2 linked regions of the Lonchura striata genome follow. The protein of the gene in region 1 interacts with the protein of each later gene in a biochemical or structural test. Links are inferred from orthologs where the notes say so. Each region holds a gene or a part of one and is shown in the gene's direction. Other genes may lie near its edges.

The links. The genes of interacting proteins can lie anywhere in the genome.
Region 2: of the proteins of AURKA (region 1) and NIN, one has a biochemical effect on the other in vitro, tested with the Homo sapiens proteins (2 studies listed by BioGRID). The link is inferred for Lonchura striata from reciprocal best matches to the Homo sapiens genes AURKA and NIN.

Annotation. Positions count from the first base shown.
Region 1 is NC_134619.1:2,536,693-2,547,018, reverse strand, and holds the start of AURKA (aurora kinase A), read left to right. Parts: upstream 1-6,091; coding exon 6,092-6,145; intron 6,146-6,766; coding exon 6,767-7,046; intron 7,047-7,581; coding exon 7,582-7,657; intron 7,658-8,273; coding exon 8,274-8,465; intron 8,466-8,696; coding exon 8,697-8,835; intron 8,836-9,171; coding exon 9,172-9,320; intron 9,321-9,886; coding exon 9,887-10,061; intron 10,062-10,326. Other genes in the region: CSTF1 (cleavage stimulation factor subunit 1), read right to left, coding at 7-204, 1,275-1,552, 2,793-2,988, 3,817-3,978, 4,875-4,994. UniProt on the Homo sapiens protein: Mitotic serine/threonine kinase that contributes to the regulation of cell cycle progression.
Region 2 is NC_134608.1:2,261,718-2,272,123, reverse strand, and holds the start of NIN (ninein), read left to right. Parts: upstream 1-5,602; 5' UTR 5,603-5,653; intron 5,654-10,406. UniProt on the Homo sapiens protein: Centrosomal protein required in the positioning and anchorage of the microtubule minus-end in epithelial cells. May also act as a centrosome maturation factor.

The DNA of each region.
Region 1 (10,326 bases):
TCTCACCTGGATGTATTTGAAGGCTCTTTTGGCAGAAGGTTTTGAATAATCAAACAATTTAAGTGTGTAGTCCCTTGAGCCAGATGCCAGGATCTGTTCTGTTGGGTGGAAAGCTAAACACGTCACTTCATCCACGTGATCGTACAGAGTCCGGATCACAGGGTGGTTCTCCATGTTCTGCTGCGCTGTCTCATTCATCATGACCTACAAAGAACATTCAACATGTTGCTGCTCTTGGAAAATAAAGCAGGTTTTTGACAGGAAAAGTAGGTTTTAGGCTTGCCAGAGTGGCTGAACTGCAGCTCCTCTCTAACACAACCAGGCACACAATCTGTTCCCTTGGTTATCTGAAGGCCCTCTGCAGGTCAACAAATAAGATCCCTGTGTCTTTATGAAGGTCAAAATAACTTGGCTCAAGGACAAACTACTTCAGTAGCAAGAAAACACCACCTTCATAAACAGCCCAAAGCAAAACACTGACTGCTGGAATAATCATGAGAAGCTGCACCAAAACTGCAGCTCTCTGCTGAGAACTTGGTGTGCGCTCTGTGCAAAAATATCCCACTTTTCATTGCCACCTGATAACTGCCTTGGAGAAAGACAAAGCACATCAATGTGTAAAACAGTTTTGAAATAACCAGTGAAAACACTGGTGGCCATGGGGGCTGCAGAGGCCCCATGGGTTTAACATGTACTGTGCTCAGACATTACAGCCACGATCAGCACCCAGAAGAAGCCACTTCTGGCTCAGCTCTCTCCCTGCTGCCAAGGGTGACACAGTGTCCTTGCCCTGGCTCTTCTTCCTTCTAAGGGACGTTATGAGCAGCTGCTGGAGTAGGCAATATGTTGAGACAGGTACTTAGTCCAACCCACTGAGGCAGCCACAAGGTACAGATATGACATGGAGAGAACGCCCAGAGTGGTTATAATCCACTATCCCAATGGGAATGGCATGGACAGGATACTCCCAGAGTGATTACAATTCATTATCCTAATGGGCATGGAATGGACAGGATATTCCCAGAGTGATTACAATCCATTATCCCAATGGGCATGGCAAGGACAGGATTCCCAGCATGGTTACAATCCCTTACCTTGATGGGCATGAACACAATTCCCAGAGTATTTACAATTCATTATCCCAATGGGAATGGCATGGACAGGATTCCCAGAGTGATATAGGCATGGCATGAACACAATTCCCAGAGTATTTACAATTCATTATCCCAACGGGCATGGCATGGACAGGATTCCCAGTGCTCACAATCCCTTACCTCGATGGGCATGGCGCTCTTGGCCAGCATCCTCTCGGTGTCCAGGATTTTGATGGAGGCATCGGCCGAGCCCGTGGCGATCAGCTGCCCGTCCCTGCTGTAGGTGGCCACGCGGCAGGGCCCCTTGTGGGAGGTGACGTAGCAGGTCTCGTACTCGGAGGCCTCGGGGGACATGGTCTGCACGTCGGCGTCGAACTCCAGGTCGATGCCGGTGCCCGGCGCCACCGTGTCCGAGCGGCCGATGGCGTACTGGACAGCGCTGTCGTCGTTCTCCATGCCTGGGGACAGCAGGGTGGCACTCAGGGCTGGCAGCCTTCCCCTCAGCCTGCCACGGCTCCAGGGAAGGTTTGGGAAAGGCAGTCCTGGGGGAGAGCTGAGCTGGCAGAGCAGGTTGGGTCACACAGCACTGGGGAGGAGTGAGGGAGAGATGGGCTGCACTGGAGCAGGCTCAGCTCCTCAGGAGCTCTGGGAATACCCCCAGTGAAGATTGGGAAATCAGTCACTGACCATGCACAGGCCTCCGGTCAGCTTTTCACAGAAGAGCAATAAGCTCCAACACTATTACGTGAGTTTTAAAGTAAAAACCCAAAGTATTTACTGATTCTTTTCCTATTTGTTTGCTCTGACGCCAAACTGTCCCAGCACTGCAAGAGAAAAAACTCGCTGGTCTTCAAGCCCACTTCCCAGACTTTTATCTTTATTTTCAAGATCCAGTTACAGACTAGGGTTCAGCCTGGAGGTGGCAACAGAGCAGACACAAGAGTTTTCAGCCCAGTGGTGATCTTTTTGCTGCTTTCATCTGCTCATTTCAAGTCTAGAATTTGCATTTCAAACAGACACAAAGCTTCACAGACTTATACCCTCAGAACTCAGCTAGTTCAGGCAGCAGAACCAGTTGGGTTACACATGGTGTCATGGCCAGAGCTCCTCCAGGACTTGGTCAGCTTGTTCCAAGAGCAGGTCAGGGGTTTTCCCCGTTTTCCCCACAATGTGGCACTTCCAGAGGGAAGTACAGGGAGGGAACAGGTGACAGCCCTGCTGAGACCCCAGAGTGTGCAGCTGTTTCCTGGGGACTGATCTATAAAAGCCAGCAAAGATTGCCAAGGGAAGGACCTGCTCCCTCTCCAACACTGCCAGGAACAGCCAGACAGGAATTATTTCTTTCTCAAGTCAGCAGAACTATAAGGCTGAGATTTTCCCTCAGATCTGGGGGTTCAGTGACCCCATTCACTGGGGTGTTTTGAGAAGGCTGCCACCCACCCAGAACCCTGAGTGTCTTTAGAGGAGTTCAAACAGATTTGGGCCACACTCAGGGATCTGGTTTGCTGTTAATCACACAGGGATGCCCTTCATAACCCCACAGAGGCAAAGGCTGTACCCAGATGTACAAGTGCTGTGCTATTACCAGACACCACCTTTGCATCAGAGGTGTCTTTCCAGTGACACCAACCTCTTACTTCAGTGGGGAATTAGAAACTAGACTTTTATGTCAGCTTTTGATTCCAGATTCCAGCTTACCTAACTTAATTAAGTGCAGCAGTTGTTCAGAGGGTGCACACACAGACTGTGGTTTGATCTCATTTATCAAGCCATTGGCAATGTTGATGTATCCATCATAGAGCAGCTGGCTAATTATCAGTTTGTAAAGTTGCTGACGATCTTTCAAACTGACTTTTGTCCTATACATTGTGAGCAGGGACTGCCTTGGGGGGGCCTGGAATGAAGAACAGAAATCACATACGAGACAGTTGCACGAAACCACCAGAACCTTGGAACAAATCTCAGGGCAGGCACCAAATATTGCTTTGGTTTTGGTGAAAAGCAGAGATGGGGAGAGGAAGGTGGGGGAGGAAGAGGAGTAAAAAGGGAGAGAAAGAAGAGGAAAGGGGGAAGAAAAGGTGGTAGAAAGGGAAGGAAAAGATGGGAGAAAGGGATGGAAAAGACAGGAGAAAAGAACAGAAAAGAAGGGATGGAAAGGAAGGAAATGACGGGAGAAAAGGAAAGAAAAGGGAAGGAAAAGACTCGGGAAAGGGGAGGAAAAGACTTGGGAAAAAGGGATGGAAAGATGGGGAAAAGGGATGGAAAAGACGAGAGAAGGGGAGGGAAAAGGGAAGGAAAAGACGAGAGAAGGGGAGGGAAAGGGAAGGAAAAGACTTGAGGAAAGGAAGGAAGACAGGGGAGAAAGGGGAGGCAAACGGGAGGAAAAGGGGGAGGTAACAGGGAGGAAAAAGGGGGAAAGGGAAGGAAAAGGGGAGGAAAAACCTGTTGCGCTGCCTTTCTGTGTGACTGCAAACCTCGGCCGCAGAGCGGCCCGCACTCGCTACGCGGCAGCGGAGCCGGCGGCAGGAGCCGAGCGCGCCGGCCGGTGCTGCCGGCGGGCCCGGGGATGGATGGATGGATGGGTGGGTGGATGGGTGCGCGGGGCGCGCACGACAGCCCCGCCGCCCGCCCCGCGGGGAGCCCCGCGCCCTCCCCGCCCCGCCGGCGGCCCGGGCCCGCGCGGGGCGGGCCGAGCCGCGGTGCGGGCGGTGCCGGTACGTACCGAGCCTTCCTTCTGCCGCCCGCGCTCTGCCCCTAAGATGGCGGCGGGCGCGCGGAGCGCATCGAGCGGCGGCGGCGGCAGCGGCGGGGGCGGCCGGGCCCGCAGGACGCTCCTCCGCGAAGGCTGCTGCATCGAGCGCCCGCACATCGATGGGAGGCGGCTCTTGGGGGGGGGACACGACACAACGGGGCGGCGTCACGGCAGCGCCACGCCCCCCGCGTCACGGGGAGGGACCCCCGGGTAGGGGGGACAGACCCCCGGTACCGTTCTGGGGGTCCCGGTCCCGCTTTGGGCTTCCCACCCCCGATCCCGCTCCGGGAGTCCCGATCCTGCTACGGGGGTCCCGATCCCGCTTTGGGGTTCCCATCCTCGATCCCGCTCCGAGGGTCCCGGTCCCCGATCCTGCTTGGGAGCTCCGATCCCGCTTCGGGGGTCCCGATCCCGCTCCTGCTTGGGAGCCCCGATCCCGCTTCGGGGGTCCCCGGAGCCCCGATCCCGCTTCGGGGGTCCCCATCCCGGATCGCGCTCCGGGGGTCCCGATCCCAAATCCCCACTCCCCCCCGGGGAATCCCGGGGTCCTTCTCCCCGTTCCCCCTCCCGGGGGTCCTGGGCGACCCCCCTCCCCATTTCTCCCCTTCCAGGGGTCCCTTCTCTCCACCCCGCCCCTTCCGGGGGTCCCGCTGCCCATTCTCCCTTTCAGGGATCCCGGGGGTCCCGCTGCCCATTCCCCCTCCCCATCCCTCCCTCCCGGGGACGCCGAGGGTCCATCCCCCCGTTCCCCTTCGGGGCCAGCGGGGCGCTGGGAAGGCCGCGGAGCCGCTCTCGGGGCGGGGGAGCGGCGCGGGCCCGGCCCCCGGCGGGCGCGGGGGGGAGCCCGGGGCTTCTTTTGTGTCGCAGCCGCAAAGCTCCGGAGCGCCGCTTCCGCCAGCGCCCGGATCCCAAACACGGCGACGTGAACGGGCTGGGAATGAAGCGGCTGGCGCGGCTGCCCAGCAGCGCTGCGGGCGGGCCCGGCCCCGGCCCCGGCGCAAACCGTCCCCGCCCCGAGCGCTACTCACGTCAGCCTCGAGGAAGGGCAGGCGGAGCGGGCGCGGGTCGAGCAGCGGGGCTGCCATGCCCCCCATGCCCCGGGGCAGCTGTCGTCTGTCACACGCTGCAGCGACACGGCGACCCGACATCTTCTTTTTACCTATCCTGAACCACTTGTAAACACCGACACACACAACCAGGCTCTCCTTCGCTCTTGTTTTCAGCACCGCGGAGACAGTGAACTTTTCAGTGCCTTGCCTCGCAGTTCTTCACCAGCTCCGAGCGCCGAGCGGAGTTTCCCTGGCGGGGACCCGCGGGGCAGCAGCGCCTGACGCCGCGCTCGCTGCGCTGCTCGCGGGCCGCGCTCGCTGAGCGGCCGCGCTGCCGCTGTCCCGGCGCCTGCGAGGGGTGCGCGGTCGCTCGGGCCGGGCCGGGCGGGGCCTTGGCGCTCGGCGCTCGCCCTGAAGCGCTGCCGGCACGTGGCGCTGCCCGGGGCCGCACCGGGGAGGCTCCGGCCCTGCTCGGCCCGTCCGGGGGGGGCACGCACACAATGGCCCCGCTGGCGCTCGGCCCCACGCGCGCTGGCAGCGGCGCCGCTGCCCGGCCTCGCCCGGGGGTGGGCGGGGGTGTGTTGGGGGGGAGTCCGGCGGGAGCGGGACTGACCTGGCGGCGCTCCCGGGGCGCGGAGCGGAGCGGAGGCGGCGGCGGCCACAGGTGGGAGCGCGGCGCGTTACGCGATTTGCGTAGCGGAAGCGGCGGCTCGGCCCGGCGGGAAGTGCGCGGGCGGCGCGCGCCGGGGTGGGGGGGGCGGCGCGGCGCTACGCAAAGTGCGTAACGCGCCGCACGGCGACAACGCCGGTGGAGGGGCGCGGCGCGGCGAGGCGCGTGCGCCCCTCGCGGCCCGGCGGAGCGCGCCTGGTAACCAATAGGCGAGCGGGCCGCCCGCGGGAGGAGCCAATCAGCGTGCGCGGGCCGCGGGAGGGCGGCCAATGGCGGGCGGCGGGGGTTTAAAGGGGTATTTAAGGCGCGGCGGTTTGAATTCAAACAGCTCCGGCGGCCCTGAGGCGGCGGCTCCGCGCTGAGCGCCGGGCCTGAGGGCGGGCGGGGGGGATTGGTGATGGATCTCTGCCGATAAACAGTGGGGATCGATAAGGGACCCGCCATTTCCTGTGCTCCGCTCGCTGAGCCCCGCTGGCTCCCTCTCGCCCTCAGCCAGAGCCGCTCGGGCCGCTCCCGCTCTGGCGCTATGGACAGGAACATGAAGGAGAACCACGCTGCCTGCCCCGGCCGCGCCGCCAAGGTAGACCGCGTATTTCACACCCTTATGTTCCTCTTCCTGAGCAATTTCTTCTGCTGCATCCTTGGACTCGATGCCTGGGAGTTTGCCATTAAAGTTCTGCTAGGTTCTGGAGTGGTGGTTTTTAGTTTTTGCTTGGTGGGTTTGTTTCTCCCCATCGCATATTAACTAGAAATTTGTCTTTCAGTGCCTTTCTCCTAGAGAAAACAGAGCCCCGAGCAGTTTTTAAAAATTATTGTTAATATTAGCCTATCTTATTAAATGGGGAAATCTTCCTTCTATTGCAAGTATTTAAGAGCTCTTAAAGAGAAAGTGAGTGTGTATTATCAAATTATTTTAGATACAGTTTTTAAAAGCAAGTGCTGTGTACATGTGCAGCAGTGCTCAAGATCACCCTTATTATTGTGTTTCTTCTATTTAGAAATACAGGCACTTTGTCAGTATTTTATATAAAGCCAAATAGACCTGATAAGTTTTTGGAACAGCATAAGCAAAATTTTCTTTTAATCAACTAAATACGTGATTCTGTTAAAGTGCTTTTGTGTGGCCGTGCCATCCTGAATGGGGCCGTGAGGGCTGTGCTGTGCTGTTGCACAATTAACGCCTTCTCCTTTCTCTTTGAAGGTCTCCAATCCCATCGGGGATGCCCCCAGACGTGTCCCCGTGTCGCAGCACTCAGCCCCGAGCCGCTCACTGACCACTGGAGCTCCAGCCCGAGTTCTGTGTCCCGCAAACTTTGCCCAGCGAGTCCCCGCGCAACCCCAAAAACCTGTTCTGTCCACCCAAAAACAACCCAGCAACCAACCAGCTCAGCAGCTCCAACCCAAAGTGCCCCAGCAGGCTGCTGTGAGACCTCAGGCTGCAAGCAAGGGCAGTGAGAAACCTCCCCAGGCTGCAGCACCTGGTAATTCTGAGGATGATTTTGTGTGATTGCAGCTGTGACACTCGGGATGCTCCTAAAGCTGCTGCTGATCCAGGGACAGTCCTGCAGGGAAGTTCTTGGTTGTGCCCCCAAACAGAAGAGCAGTACGTGGTTCACCTCGGGTGTTACTGCACCATCCTTATGAATTTACCTCTAAATTAACAGAGATAAATTAGATAAATTAGGGACATTATGGTGTTAAAAACTTGTAGGTGCTCAGCAGACAGCTCGGAGTTAATGTCATTTGCATTCAGACTTCACAGGTTTTCCAAGTGTCCAGGGATACTTTTGTCTGGGGAGGGGGAAAGAATTCATGGAGTTTTATGCTCCATAAGCTTTTAAAATTGCATTTTGCCAGCACTGTTTCTTCCCTAGCAGTCAGCCATGCTAGTTTAATTAAAATGTCACTGAATGGGTTCTAAAAACTGCTTCAGATGATGCACAGGGGTTAGATTTGTTCATGTGTGTGTGTGCCCATGAGTCTGGTTCATTAACTGATTTCCTTCTCTGTACACAGCACAAAACCCTGAAGCAGAAAGCACCTCTAAACAGAAAACTGAAGAGACCAAGAAGAAAAGTGAAGAGACTAAAAAGTAAGTTTATGCCTGAATTCTGGATAACTGAGCCCTGCTGGAGCTCCTTTGGCTGTGGAGCCTGGTGACCCCCTTGCTTTGCAGACACCTCACAAGGAAAAGCAGCCTTTGACCTGATAATTGTCAGGAACAAGGACTTGTTGGAATCTAAAGAAAACTTCGGGCTAAATGCAGAGTGGCTCTTCCCATGGGAGAGCACTGATAGCTGCTGCCTCAGTCACTAGATGTACTCCTGAAAACAAAGCCTCCTTCATCTGGGCAGGAGGCTGGAGTCTATTTTGATATGAAACTGGATTTGTTTATGGCAACTTTAAATTGTTTTGCCATGCCCTGGTGATGTGTCTGGGTTAGGAGTATCTGAAGGAGCCCAGCTTGGTAAACAGACTTCATTTTGTAGTAGTGTGGTTGGTGTAGTGTCTGCAGAAGCTTCAGGAGGAAAGAAAATAGTTTTCACAACTTCCTTTTGAAAAATCTCAATGCTTTTATTCTCTAGGTATTTTCTTAAAGACTAAAATCTAGTTTAGAGCACTAAGCATCTCTTGAACAGCAATGTTATAAACTGTAAATTTGAGTCAAATCCAACACAACTATCCAGCTTTTAACTTTCCTCTTGCAGAAGGCAATGGTCCCTCGACGATTTTGAAATTGGTCGTCCTCTGGGGAAAGGAAAATTTGGGAATGTGTACCTGGCACGTGAAAAACAGAGCAAATTTATTCTCGCACTGAAAGTGCTCTTTAAAACACAGCTTGAGGAAGCTGGTGTAGAACATCAACTACGAAGAGAAGTGGAAATACAGTCTCATCTTAGGTAAAGTTCAGTGACTATTTACTCTGCTTTGTTTGCACCCAAATAAACAAGGTGACCTTGGTTATGATGAGGCTTCTTTATGATAAGGGGTTTGTGTGTTGTGAGCTGAAGGAACACGGATGAGCTGAAATTCCTGTGCTTCCCTTGAAAGCGGAAGGGAACAGGAAAAGGTGGGAAATTGAAGGTTTTGGCAAACACCTGATTCAGAAGAACATTGAAATCTCTTTGCAGGCACCCCAACATTCTCAGATTATATGGCTACTTCCATGATGTGACAAGAGTCTACCTGATCCTGGAGCACGCACCTCGTGGGGAGGTCTACAGGGAGCTTCAGAGGCTCAGCAAGTTCGATGAGCAAAGAACTGCTACTGTAGGTTGTTCCAGCTTCCTCTCCATTCCTGTATCTGGGATATCTGCAGGACAGAGCCAACCCTTCAGATCAAGTTCTGTATTCTGCTGGGGGACACTGAGATTCCTTAGCTGCTAGTTGGCATCTGGGCAGGGAATAATTGGGAAGGGTTAGGGCTGTGCAGGAATTTATGTTCAGAATTGCTTAATATTGCAAGTCACAGCCTGTATTGCCAGGCTTCGAGTGTAAAGGAATAATTGCTTTAATTTAAAATTATAATTATGGCTCCAAAAGGCTGTGCTGCAGCCAGATAAACTCAGGTGACAATATCTTAAAGATTATTCTTTCTGCACCCAGTACATCACAGAACTTGCAGATGCCCTCTCGTACTGTCACTCCAAGCGTGTGATCCACAGAGACATCAAGCCAGAGAATTTGCTGCTAGGATCCAATGGAGAGTTAAAAATTGCTGACTTTGGGTGGTCTGTGCATGCTCCATCTTCTAGGTGAGAATTCAATCTCTTGTGCACTGGAATCCTTCTGTAGTGTCAGTTTTTATCACACAGTTGTGGAAGGGAGGTACGTGGGAACTTCCTGAAATACTGGGGAAAAATGCTGCTATAACAAAGGGCCTAACAGGCAACTGGTGTGACAGAGGAGGGTTGTTAGCCTGGTTTTTAGTTCAAACCTTGCTGGCCCTCAGAGGAAGGCTGGTGTAGGGTTACTGTGCTCCCTGAGATGACAAACCTGCACTTGGACTCGGACATTACACTGGCAATTTGGTTATTTCTGAGAGAGTGGGAAATGGCACCTGAGAAGGGAGGAACAGGTTTGTTCTAGCATGTGGGGTGAAGAAAGGAGCTAAGACTGACTGATTGCAGGGAATGAAATACTTTCAGTAGAAGTAGAAAATGTCCTGCTGGCTTTTCTTTCCCAGCTGTTCTGATGGTGCCGAGTCCATTCAGGTGGACTGCACTGAGGTACAGATGATTGCCAGCATTAGTTCTTATCTGACTCTTGAAATAGATCCTCTAATTATCTTAATCAATGATTAACTTGGACTTTTCTTCAGGAGAACAACTCTCTGTGGGACACTTGACTACCTGCCTCCTGAAATGATTGAGGGAAGAACACATGATGAAAAGGTGGATATTTGGAGTCTGGGAGTTCTGTGCTATGAGTTCCTTGTAGGAAAACCACCTTTTGAAACAGAAACCTATCAAGAAACCTACAGAGCTATTTCCAGGGTAAGTGCCAGTGCTTATCTGGATTAGCTGGGTCGTGCTTTTAGTTCTAGAAAGGTTTCAGCAAACTTAAGTTTGAAACGTAATGAAAACAAAAACAAGAATATACAAATACTTTCACAAGCAACGAGAAGCCTGTTCAGGGTTACAATTAAATTATTTTACCTCCATAGGCAGAAGGTGCAGAGCCTGCAAGGCTGGCACAGCTTTCAGAAGGTAACTTGGAGGTTGAGTGCTTCTATCACTTGGTTATTGCTAAAGAACTTTT
Region 2 (10,406 bases), on another chromosome or scaffold:
CAGGGTGGCAGTGCCCTGTCCCCCAGGAACCCCAGGAGATCTCTGTAGTTCTCTGTCCCCCAAGGACGTGCAGGTTTAAAATCCAGAAAATCTAGAAAAACCCACCCAGCCCCCTATGACCCAGGGCTGAGTGGGTTTAGAGGGGACCCTAGAAAATATGCAGTCCTCTGTCCCCCAAAAGAGACCAGGGGGAGCATGGTGCCAGCAGTGAGGTGCCACACCAGGGAAAACAGCCTTTCCACAGGCAAGGAGCACAGAGGGAATGCTTCCAGGTCAAAAAGTAAAAATCATTTTAAATGGTTTAACACTAAAGCTGGTGTGCCTAGGATCGAGCAGGAAGGGTGGAAACCTGCTGCTGCTGAGCCTCCCACCTGCAGCCGTGTCAGGGTGAGTCAGCTAGACTTTTTCAGGATGAAACTTCCCACCGGGAGAGAAATATCCCTGCTTCAGCAGAATTCCCTGGGAAATCCTGCCAGCTGCAGGAGGATGTGCTGCTGGAAGACACCCACAGCTGGGCCAGCCCTTCATCACCTCAGCTGCCAGTGGGGCCCACAGCAGGGACCCCATCAATCAGCTGGGGGAGGGCTGGGATGAACCTTTCCCAGAGGACCAGCCACCCAGGCTGGCATTTGGAGCTGCTTTTATTCATCTGCCCTCCAAATTAAAACCTGTGCTGCGTTGGAATCATGGAATCCCAGAATGGTTTGGGTTCAAGGGGCCTTGAAGACCATCCCATCCCACCCCTGCCATGACAGGGACACCTTCCACTGTCCCAGGTTGCTCCAAGCCCTGTCCAACCTGGCCTGGGACACTTCCAGGGACCCAGGGCACCCTGTGTGGACCTCCCCACCCTCACAGGGAACAATTCTTTCCCAATATCTAATCTAACCCTGCCTCAGCAGCAAAATGCAAATGCAAAGACAAACAGGTCCAGTGAAGCTGGGGCTGTGGGCAGGCGTTCCCCAGCAGCAGCTGCTGCAAGGAGGTGCCACAAGGCAGCTCCAGCTGCTCCTCCATGCTCCAGGGGCACAAGAACGGGGGAAATGACCAACAGACCCGGCTGCTTTCATCAGCAAGAGGTTTCCTTCCATCCCCAATTTTTCCCCATTCCCAGCTGGTTTCACAGGACAGAGCTTTTCCTTCCATCCCAAATTCTTCCACATTCCCAGCTGGTTTTGTGAACCAGACCTTTTCCTTCCACCCTTAATTCTTCCACATTCCCAGCTGGTTTCACAGGCCAGAACTTTTCCTTCCACCCCCATTTTTTCCCCATTTCCAGCTGATTTCATGAGCCAGAGCTTTTCCATCCACCCCCAATTTTCCCTATTCCCAGCTGGTTTCACAGGGCAGAGCTTTTCCTTCCACTCCCAATTTTCCCCCATTCCCAGCTGGTTTCACAGGCCAGAACTTTTCCTTCCATCTCCTATTTTTCCTCATTCCCAGCTGATTTCATGAGCCAGAGCTTTTCCTTCCATCCCCATTTCTCCCCCATTCCCAGTTGGTTTCACAGGCCAGAGCTTTTCCTTCCACCCCAAATTTTTCCCCATTCCCAGCTGGTTTTGTGGGCCAGAGCTTTTCCTTCCACCCCCAATTTTTCCCCATTCCCATCTGGTTTCACAGACCACAGCTTCTCCTTCCATCCCAAATTTTTCCCCATTCCCAGCGAGTGCTCTGGCTGCAGCTCAGCAGTGACTTCTCAAGGGGGGAAGGCGATGCCCAACAATTCCAGTGATGCCCACAGGGATGGGCACGGTGCCCGGGGGCTCTGGAGCTCCTGCGGGCTGGAAGAGGCTGGCACGGAGCTCGGGAACCTCACCAGGACGGAGCAACCACCCAAATATTTCTTGCCATGAAAGAGCCAGCACAGCAAAGGCGGCTAACAGGAGTTTTTCCTGGGCTGAAGGGAAAATCCTCGGCTGGAATGAGGCAGGATCAGGCTCGGGAGGAGGCGCTGGGAAGGCGATTGGAGCCGGACGTGGGATGGCAGCAGCGAGCCGCGGAGGTACCGCTGCGGCTTAGCCTTTGTTTTGTGTAAAAAATAGCAAAGTTTGGGCTTATGTCATTCCAAACTTCTCCCGGCACCAGCTGGGAGATGGGGAGGTTCCCTCCAGCTGGTTTTTTTTTTTTCCATACAGCGTCTTTTCCTTTTCCCCTTTACGTTTTGCTGATGGTTTCATGGCTTTTTTTTTTTTCCTTTTTCTTTATTTTTTTTTTTTTTTAATTCTTTGGCTATTTGATGACCCTCTTCCCCTTGTCCTGGGCGGGCCGAGGGGTTCCTGTGCCCAGCAGGGCGCAGCTGGAAAGAGCCCAGGAATGCAGAAGCATCTCCCCCAGCGCAGCAGCCGGACTTTTCCTCGCCCTAGAACAAAGCACCCCATTGTTCAGGGAAAATGGGAAGGAAAGCGTGACGGAGCAGCCCGAGCCAAGCCGGGAGGGTGTTTCTGCAGGAGCCGAGCACCCACGGCCTGGCACAGGGGTCACCCACCGCCTGCCCCTGATTTTGGGTGGCTCCGTGCCACCCTCGGCGGCTGATGGCCCGCAATCGCGGCGTTTCCCACGTATCCCGAATTTTGTGACACCGTGGGTCGCTTGAGCCGAGGTTTCCTTCCTCCCAGCTCCGGGGTGGCATTTCCCGGGAAATGCCCATCCCGGAGCGCAGCTGCTCGCTGGGAAAGGAGCTCCAAAAATAGGCTCGGAGGGTTTTGTGTCTGGCACGGCTCCGCGGCTCCCTAGAAACACGCTTTTCTCCTACGGGGAAAATCAAACCAGGATGCCTCTGCTACCAGCTGGTCCTAAAAACGAGTCAGGAATTTGCACTGGGAGGATCAGCAGCGCTCCTGAAGCGGGGGCTGCACGTCCCTGTGGGATGGGGACATGGGGACACCGAGCCTTGTCCCCATCGCCCGCCCTGCACGCGTGTGGCCCGTGGCTTTTTGGGGGACGGGGGGGATTTTTCGGGGCTGTCGCTTGGATTAGCGAGGCACCGGCAAAGAGGAGGAGGAGGAGGAGGAGGAGGGTGAGGGGGATAAAGGTCCTGGCACTCGCCGGGCTCGCAACAAAACAAAGCACCAGATGGTTCCAACTTCAGCATAATACGCGGAGAAAAAGTGTTTGAAGCGGGGATGGAAAAGCAAATGTGGGAAGAGAGGAAGAAAGGAAAGAAAGGAAAAAAAAAAAAACCCTCAGCAAGTGTCAGAGCAGAAGAAAGCGGCGGAGAAAAATGGCAAATGTTAAAAACCCAAACAAAAAGCCCTCGGCCGGCACAAAGCCACGGCTGCTGACATCTGTCCGGCAAAGCCTCTCGCCAAGGGTCCCCTTCCCTTTGGAGTCACCCTGCCCTGCTGCTGTCACCGCGGGGACACGGCCACATCCCCGGCCAGGGCTGTGCTGGGGACACTGTGCCACGTCCCACAGCCACGGAGCTGTCCCCGGGCCAGGTGGCACTGACGTGCCAGGTGACATGCAGCAAAGCCATCCCTAAATATTTTATTACAATATTTTGTTACACTATTCTGTTACAATATTTTATTACAATATTTTAATACAATATTTTATTACAATACTTTTTGGAGCTCTTTCTGCTGTCACCTCACATGTCCCAGATGTCCTTGTGTGCTGGCAAACCCACCCGTGGCTCTGCTGTGGGGTTTTAAGCCTGGTTTATGATCTGAGCGAGGTTTATCCAACCCCCCCCCCAGTGCGAGGCTTTTTTGTGTTCCCCTCGCTCCTCCCCACGAAATTTCTTGAACTCGCAGAGCAGAGCTGCCTTAAAAAAAAGGGAAGAAGGCTAAGAAGTCATATTGCCCCGGGCATTTTCACCAGAAAAAAAAAAAAAAAAGCAAAATAATCTCATGCAATTGCTCGAGAGTGGATTGCAGAGGGGGTGGAACCCTTTTTTAGCCATCAGAGAATCCACAAGCCTTGGACTGCCGGGCTTGAAACGGGGGCTGGAGTCCTGCTGGGGCCTGTGGCTTGTGTGTCACCACCCCAGGGCTGCCCTGCGGGGTGGCTCCTGGGGAAAGAAGGGGTCCTTGGTTTTGTGATTCCCCCCCAAAATCGAGTGGGAAGCGCCGGAACACGGGGCTGGGGCGGTGGAAGGGGTGGATGCCACAGCACAGCAGCTGTCCTGTCACGGTGACACACAGAGAGTTGGGGGGCTGTCCCCCAGGCCCGGGGATGGCAGGGAGATGGGGTGTCGTGTCCCCAGGGCAGGGGACAGCGATGTGTTGCTGTGACCTTCAGGCGTGGGACAGCCCAGGTGATGTGCCGGTGGTTTTTTGGGACAATGAGGAGCTGCAGGGCCGTGTCCCCTGGGGGACAGGACAGTGTGGAGCCGGGGTGATGCCACCCTTGGGGACAGCACAGCAAGGACTCGGTGGTGTCCACTTGGCTTGTGGGAGGATGAGAACCAGGGTGATGTCACCGCGGGGGACAGGACGCTGGGGAGCTGGGGTGATGCCACCCTGGGGTGCAGGACAGCGGGCAGCTGGGTGATGCCACCCATAGAGCCGGGGTGATGCCACCCTGGGGTGCAGGACAGAGGGCAGCTGGGTGATGGCACCCATGGAGCCGGGGTGATGCCACCCTGGGGTGCAGGACAGAGGGCAGCTGGGTGATGGCACCCATGGAGCCGGGGTGATGCCACCCTGGGGTGCAGGACAGAGGGCAGCTGGGTGATGGCACCCATGGAGCCGGGGTGATGCCACCCTGGGGTGCAGGACAGAGGGCAGCTGGGTGATGCCACCCATGGAGCCGGGGTGATGCTGCTCTGGAGTGCAGGGCAGCAGGGAGCCAGGGTGATGTCCCCGTGGGGTGCAGAATGATGGGAACTCAGGCGATGTCACCCTGGGGGAGGGGACATCTGGGAGCTGGGGTGATGCCACCTTGGGGAGCGCAATGACGGGAACTGCGATGATGCCATTTGGGGGGATGGGACACTGAAGAGCCACTCTGAGGTGTGGGACATTGGGGACCATGGTAGTGTCACCCTAGGGGCCAGGACAGTGGAGAGCTGGGCCGATGCCACCCTGGGGTGCAGAACAGCAGGGAGATGGGGTGATGTCCCCTGGGGTGCAGGGCGATGGGAACCGAGGTGACGCCACCGGGGGGGATCAGGCCATCGGGGACCGAGGGTTATACTATCCCGAGGTGCAGGACAACGGGAAGCTGAGGTGATACGCGACAGCGACAAGCTGGGGTGCAGAACACCGGGGACACGCCGGTACCCCGGCGGCGCGGGCCACCCCAGCAGACCCCGGTGCCGGGGGGCGTTCCCGGGCGGTGCCGCACAAAGGCCGCCGGTCCCCCCGCCCCGGGGCCAGCCCCGGGGCCGCCCCCGAGCCTCGGCCCAATAAACGCGGCCGCATTTGAACGCGGCGCCTCCCCCGGCCCCGCAACGCTCCGAGCGCTCCGCCAGCCCCGCCGCGCCCGCGGGCACCGGCAGCCGGTGAGCGGGGCCGGGCAGGGGGCGGCTGCGGGAGCGGGGAGGGGCAGCCCCGAGCCCCGGTGCGGGGGCAGCGCTGTCCGCCCCGCTCCGTCCCTCCTCCGCGGGCGGTGCCGGGGCCCGGCCCGCCCCTGCCCGGCCCTTCCCGGCGGGGCGGCCGCGTGTGCGGGGCGCCGGGACGCGCCGGCGGGGAAGGGGCGCAGCGGCGAGGTGGGTGCCTGGGGAAGGAGGGGGTCCGGAGGGTGGCGAGATGCTGGAGGGGAACGGGGAATGCTGGAGGGATGGGATGCTGGGAGCGGGGGGTGATGGAGGGAAGGGGGTGATGGGGATGGGGACTCGTGGCCACGGGGCGCGGCGGTGATTTCAGGGGTGTCTGTGAGTGGGTGCCACCCCAAAGCCCCCCAAGGTCCCCTCGGCGCTGGTGGCAGTGGTCCCGCGGGGTGACAGCTCCTCCTGCCCAGGGCCCCCCATCCCGGCGTGCGTCCCTGCTGCCGGAGGGATGCTCCGAGCGCTGGGAGCGGGTTCTGGAGCGCTCTCGCCGGGCTGAGCCCTGGAAGCAGCCGGCTGTGGCTGGAGGAATTAATAACAGCAGTTGTTTTGTCATCGGCAAAGCTCTCGTTGTCACCAGGGTGGCAGACAGCATCTGCTGTCTGGTCACCAACCGTGGGCCCATCTCCCTTGGAGCATCCCTGTAGGGATGGAGCCGAGGAGAGACAAAATCCACAGACTAGGAGCATCCAGTGCTGGGATTTTCCTGGGTGTAAATTTGGGTGTATCCAGCTCATCTGGGTGCTCCCCAACCGGAGCTGCCGCCGTGATTCAGCAGAGCCCGGCTCCGGTGGAGCCGGCAGCTCCGCGGGGATCACCGAATCCCGCATCACCCGGCGTGCGGGGCATCGCTGCATCCATCACCGGCTCGCTTTGTTTACTTCTGAAATAATCAGCTTTGCGCCTCCACCTTGGGCTTTATCGCACCCCGACTTACTGCGGAGCGACCCCAGCCCGATTCGCAAAATCGAACCAGATGGGCGCTTTGTTTTTCCTTACGGAGGCAAGGCTGGGAGTGAAAAGCCCCATTACAATGCAAATACCGCGCTGGCGTGAATATTCAAACCGCTGCGCTGCTTTGGAAGCTCTTTACATAAATTTATGGCGCTTTTATTACGCCATCGCTGCTTTGCTAATCGGGAGTGGAGCCTGGTTAACAGAGTCGCTGCTCTCTGCCAACTTTGGAGGGTCTGGGGGTGGTTTTGGGGTGCACGGGGAGAGATGGCATTGAGGTGCAAAAGGAAAATGAGTGTGGCCAATGGCCCACAGCTGTAAGGCTGACTCTGGTGGTGACCCTGGAAAAGCTGGGCGTGCTGTCAAGTGATGTACTGACATTAAGGTGCTTCATTGTCCTTTTGGGTTTTGTTTTTCCCTTTGGTTTCTCGGTGTGACCCTTCGTGGAGCTGCTGCTCCAAGAGGGGATGGGGTGTTGCTGAGCTGGAAATTGCCCTGGCACGGTGTGGGGATTTTGGGGTGGACACAGGGACAGGGCACGGAGCTCTCCTCTCTGGTGACCGGTGACAGGACCCAGGGAATGTCTGGAGCTGTGTCAGGTTTAGGTTGGATTTTGGGAAAGGTTTCTCCCCCAGAAGGTGCTGGCACTGCCTGGGTTCCCCAGGGAATGAATGGTGACATTCCCGAGGCTGCCAGAGCTCCAGGAGCTTTTGGACACCACTCCTAGGGATGCTCAGGGTGGGATTGTTGGGGAGTCTGTGCAGGGCCAGGATCTGCCCTGGCTGATCCCTGTGGGTCCCTTCCAGCTCAGGGAATTCTGTGATTCAGCAGAGCTGCTGTGATGGATGAGATGGTTCATTAGGGAAGGAGATAATGAGTGTGAGACAACCTCAGCTCTGGCTTTCCCAGAAAAGTCTGGGTTTGGTGGTTGCTGGGCATCTCGTACAACCCCAGCATGAAAACCTGGGGTGCTGGTGGATTTTGCCAGCTGTGTTCACATCACCCAGGTTGTCACAGGTGCAGTGGGAAGGGAAAGTTGCTTTAAAGTTGCTTTAAAGTGCCCAAGTGTGGCCGTGCTCTCCAGGACACGGGGGACACTCAGTGACATCCCATGGAGTGCGTGCTTGTGTTTTGGAGTTGGCCACAGGATGCTGCCTCGCTGGGTAATTACTGCTAATTACCAGGCCCTCATTTGAGTCGAGGCAATCAAGAGGAGCAGTAAGAAAAAATTTTCCTCGTTGTCCCTCGGAGGTGATGACTTCAGTGTTGGGATAAGGGCAAGGTACCCATAGCCCTGATTAGTGATGCAGCCCATGGGGGCCCATTTGGGCAGAGCATCCCCAAAATCTCCCTCTTGTGCAGCAGCAAATGTGATTTTTGTCTTGTCCTAGAGGAAGGTGTCCCTGCCTGTGCCTGGGGGTTGGCTTGAAGTGGCCTTTAAGGTCCCTTCCAACTGAAGTAACTCTGGGATTCTGTAATTCACACTGTTTAAAAAAACCACCACGCTCTCCCCAAAAAAATAATTGTGCTAATTGTGGTGGTTTTCCTTGCTGATGCCATTGATTGACCAATCTGTGCTTTCATTAGCTCCAGGTTAAAGTTGATATCGATTCCAGGCGCTTAAATATGCAAAGCAGTAATCACTGTTTAAGCCTGCATTGTTTGAGTTAAATTTAGCTGAGAATTTAGTCCTATCGGGCCCCTACATTGTGTGCAGTGAAGGTTATCTGGCTCTCAGGAGGGGGTGGATTTAAAAGCAGGAAAGAAATGCCGGTGAAAACTTCCTCTCCTCATCATCCCGGAGTGCTTTGCTTCCCCGGGCTGGTAATAAGGAGAACAGAAATAAGGAATAATGTGGTGCTGACTCTCCTCAACCTGCACTTTTCAGTGCTAGCTGGTCATTTTGGGGGGCTTGAAACAGCACAGAAGGGCAGCAATAAATCTGAACCAAGTGATGCCCTGTGCTGGGACCATCCCCTCTCCTCCTGGCTGGGGATGGGGAGCCCCAGCTCAGCTGCTGCCTGCCTGCCCCTATTATCCTGGCTGCCCTCCTGCATCTCAGCTGCTGGCCCATCTGGAGCAGAGATGAAAGGCTGCCCTTTAATTCGGGCTTTGTGTGCCTCTGGTGGGTCCCCATCCCCGTCACGGCTGCCGGAGGTGCCTCTGATGCTGCTGACCTCATTCCCGTGCCTGCTGGCTGATGCCAGGCTGGCCTGGCCAGCTCCTCAGGTAGGAGAGGAGGCTTTGGGTGGCATTTTTCCCCCCGCTGTGGAAGCGCCGCTGAATAATTCAGGCAGGAGGAGGCATCTTGGGTCACCTTGTGCTGCGTGCCGGAGCCGCCTGCCTAAGATGGAGGTTGTGCAGGATTGCGGGATCGCCGGGCTGCCTGCGGCTCCCCGGGCCTCTGGCTGCAGGTAGGCACCAGCCCTGGCATCCCTGCTCCCTCCTGGAGCTGGGAATCGGGAATCCCTCCCCAGCCCGTGTCCCTCTGGGCTCTCCGGCTGTGGGGATGTGCCAGGCTGCCCTGGCCAAAAACTCACCTGGGCTGTCGGGCAGGGGTGGCCCCCGCAGCTCTGATGCTCTCCTCCTTTAGGGGATTGGGGTTTTCTCGCTGGTTTTGTGGGGTCCCCAGTGCTGGGTTTGCCCACAGTGAGTTTCTGGGCTCTGTGCTGTTGTGGCATTGAGAGGGGTGATCCCAGTGCTCCAGCAGCAGGGATGCTCGGGGATATACTGGGAGGTGGCATTTATCTCTCTGCCCTAACTGGGGGAACTGGTTCTGGCAGTGTGGCAGTAGGGTCAGGTGCTGGAGACATCTCTGGGGGGGGCAGGAGGTGGCTGACCCTGAAGAGAAGAGGTTCAGAAATGCTTGGGAAGCTCTGTGGGTTGGAGTCATCTCTGCTGTGAGTTTTGGGGCCGCTGGAATGTGCAGGCAGGGCTCCCTGACACCAGGATCCAGCCACTGAGCAGCCCTGGGGGTGCAGCTGGGGAATGGGGTTGCTGCTGTGGGAATGGGAACAAGTTTGTTGCCTTCCTCCTGCTCGCAGGCACCTGAGTTTTTTGGGTGCTGCCTCCTCCTCTGTGCCCCAGGTGGAATGTGTCTGTGCCTCCCTCCTCCCCCCAGCGCTTGGGTGCCGTGAGAAATCAGCTCAAGAGGGATTTGGAGGGGGGAAAAATAGGACAGGGAGGGTGTGAGGCTGAGGTGGAGGGGTTGTGTCCATCCATGGAGTGTCCACAGCCATCCCTGCCCGTGGCAGTGCAGGGTCCCTGTCCCGTGGGCTCTGCGTGCTGCCTGTCACCAGATGTGGCATCCAGAGGATGCTCTGCCCTGGCATCTGCTCCTGCAGCCAGGGAAATCAAGGACACGGCTGCTGCAGTGCCTGCCCTGGAGATTTCCTGCCTGGGCTGGGCAGGGCTGTGCAATTGGGCTGCAATTGGAGCAGCTCTGGCACATCCAGGGGTGCTGCTGGTGGCACAGGGAGCCACAGGAACCCTGAGGAGCAGAGGGGGCAGGGCTGGATGGGGGAGGAGGTTTGGGGTAGGAGCCCCTGTTTTGGGAAATGTGGCTGATACAACCTGCAGCAGGCACAAAAACACAATTCCCGTGGCTGGCCAAGCATCCTGGGATGCCCAGTTGGGTCCTTGGGACACCAGGTCCCTGCAGTGCTCATTGTCACCCAAGAAGGGTGACAGTGCCTGTTGTGCCCCCAGGGTGGTGGCACAGCCACAGCCAGGCTGTGTGGTGGCACTGGGTGACAAAGCCAGCCAGGAGCCCTGGGCCAGGCTGAACAAACAGCTCCAGCCAAATCCTTCATTTCAGAGAGGAAATTTCCCTCCTCCCCCCTGCCAGAGCAGCTCCTGGGGCCATGACCCTCTGTTAGCAATGGGTGAGGGGGGTGGAAACTTGACTTGGAGGGGAAGATGAAGACTTGAGGCAAATTGTGTGCCTGGTGCAGGACACCAG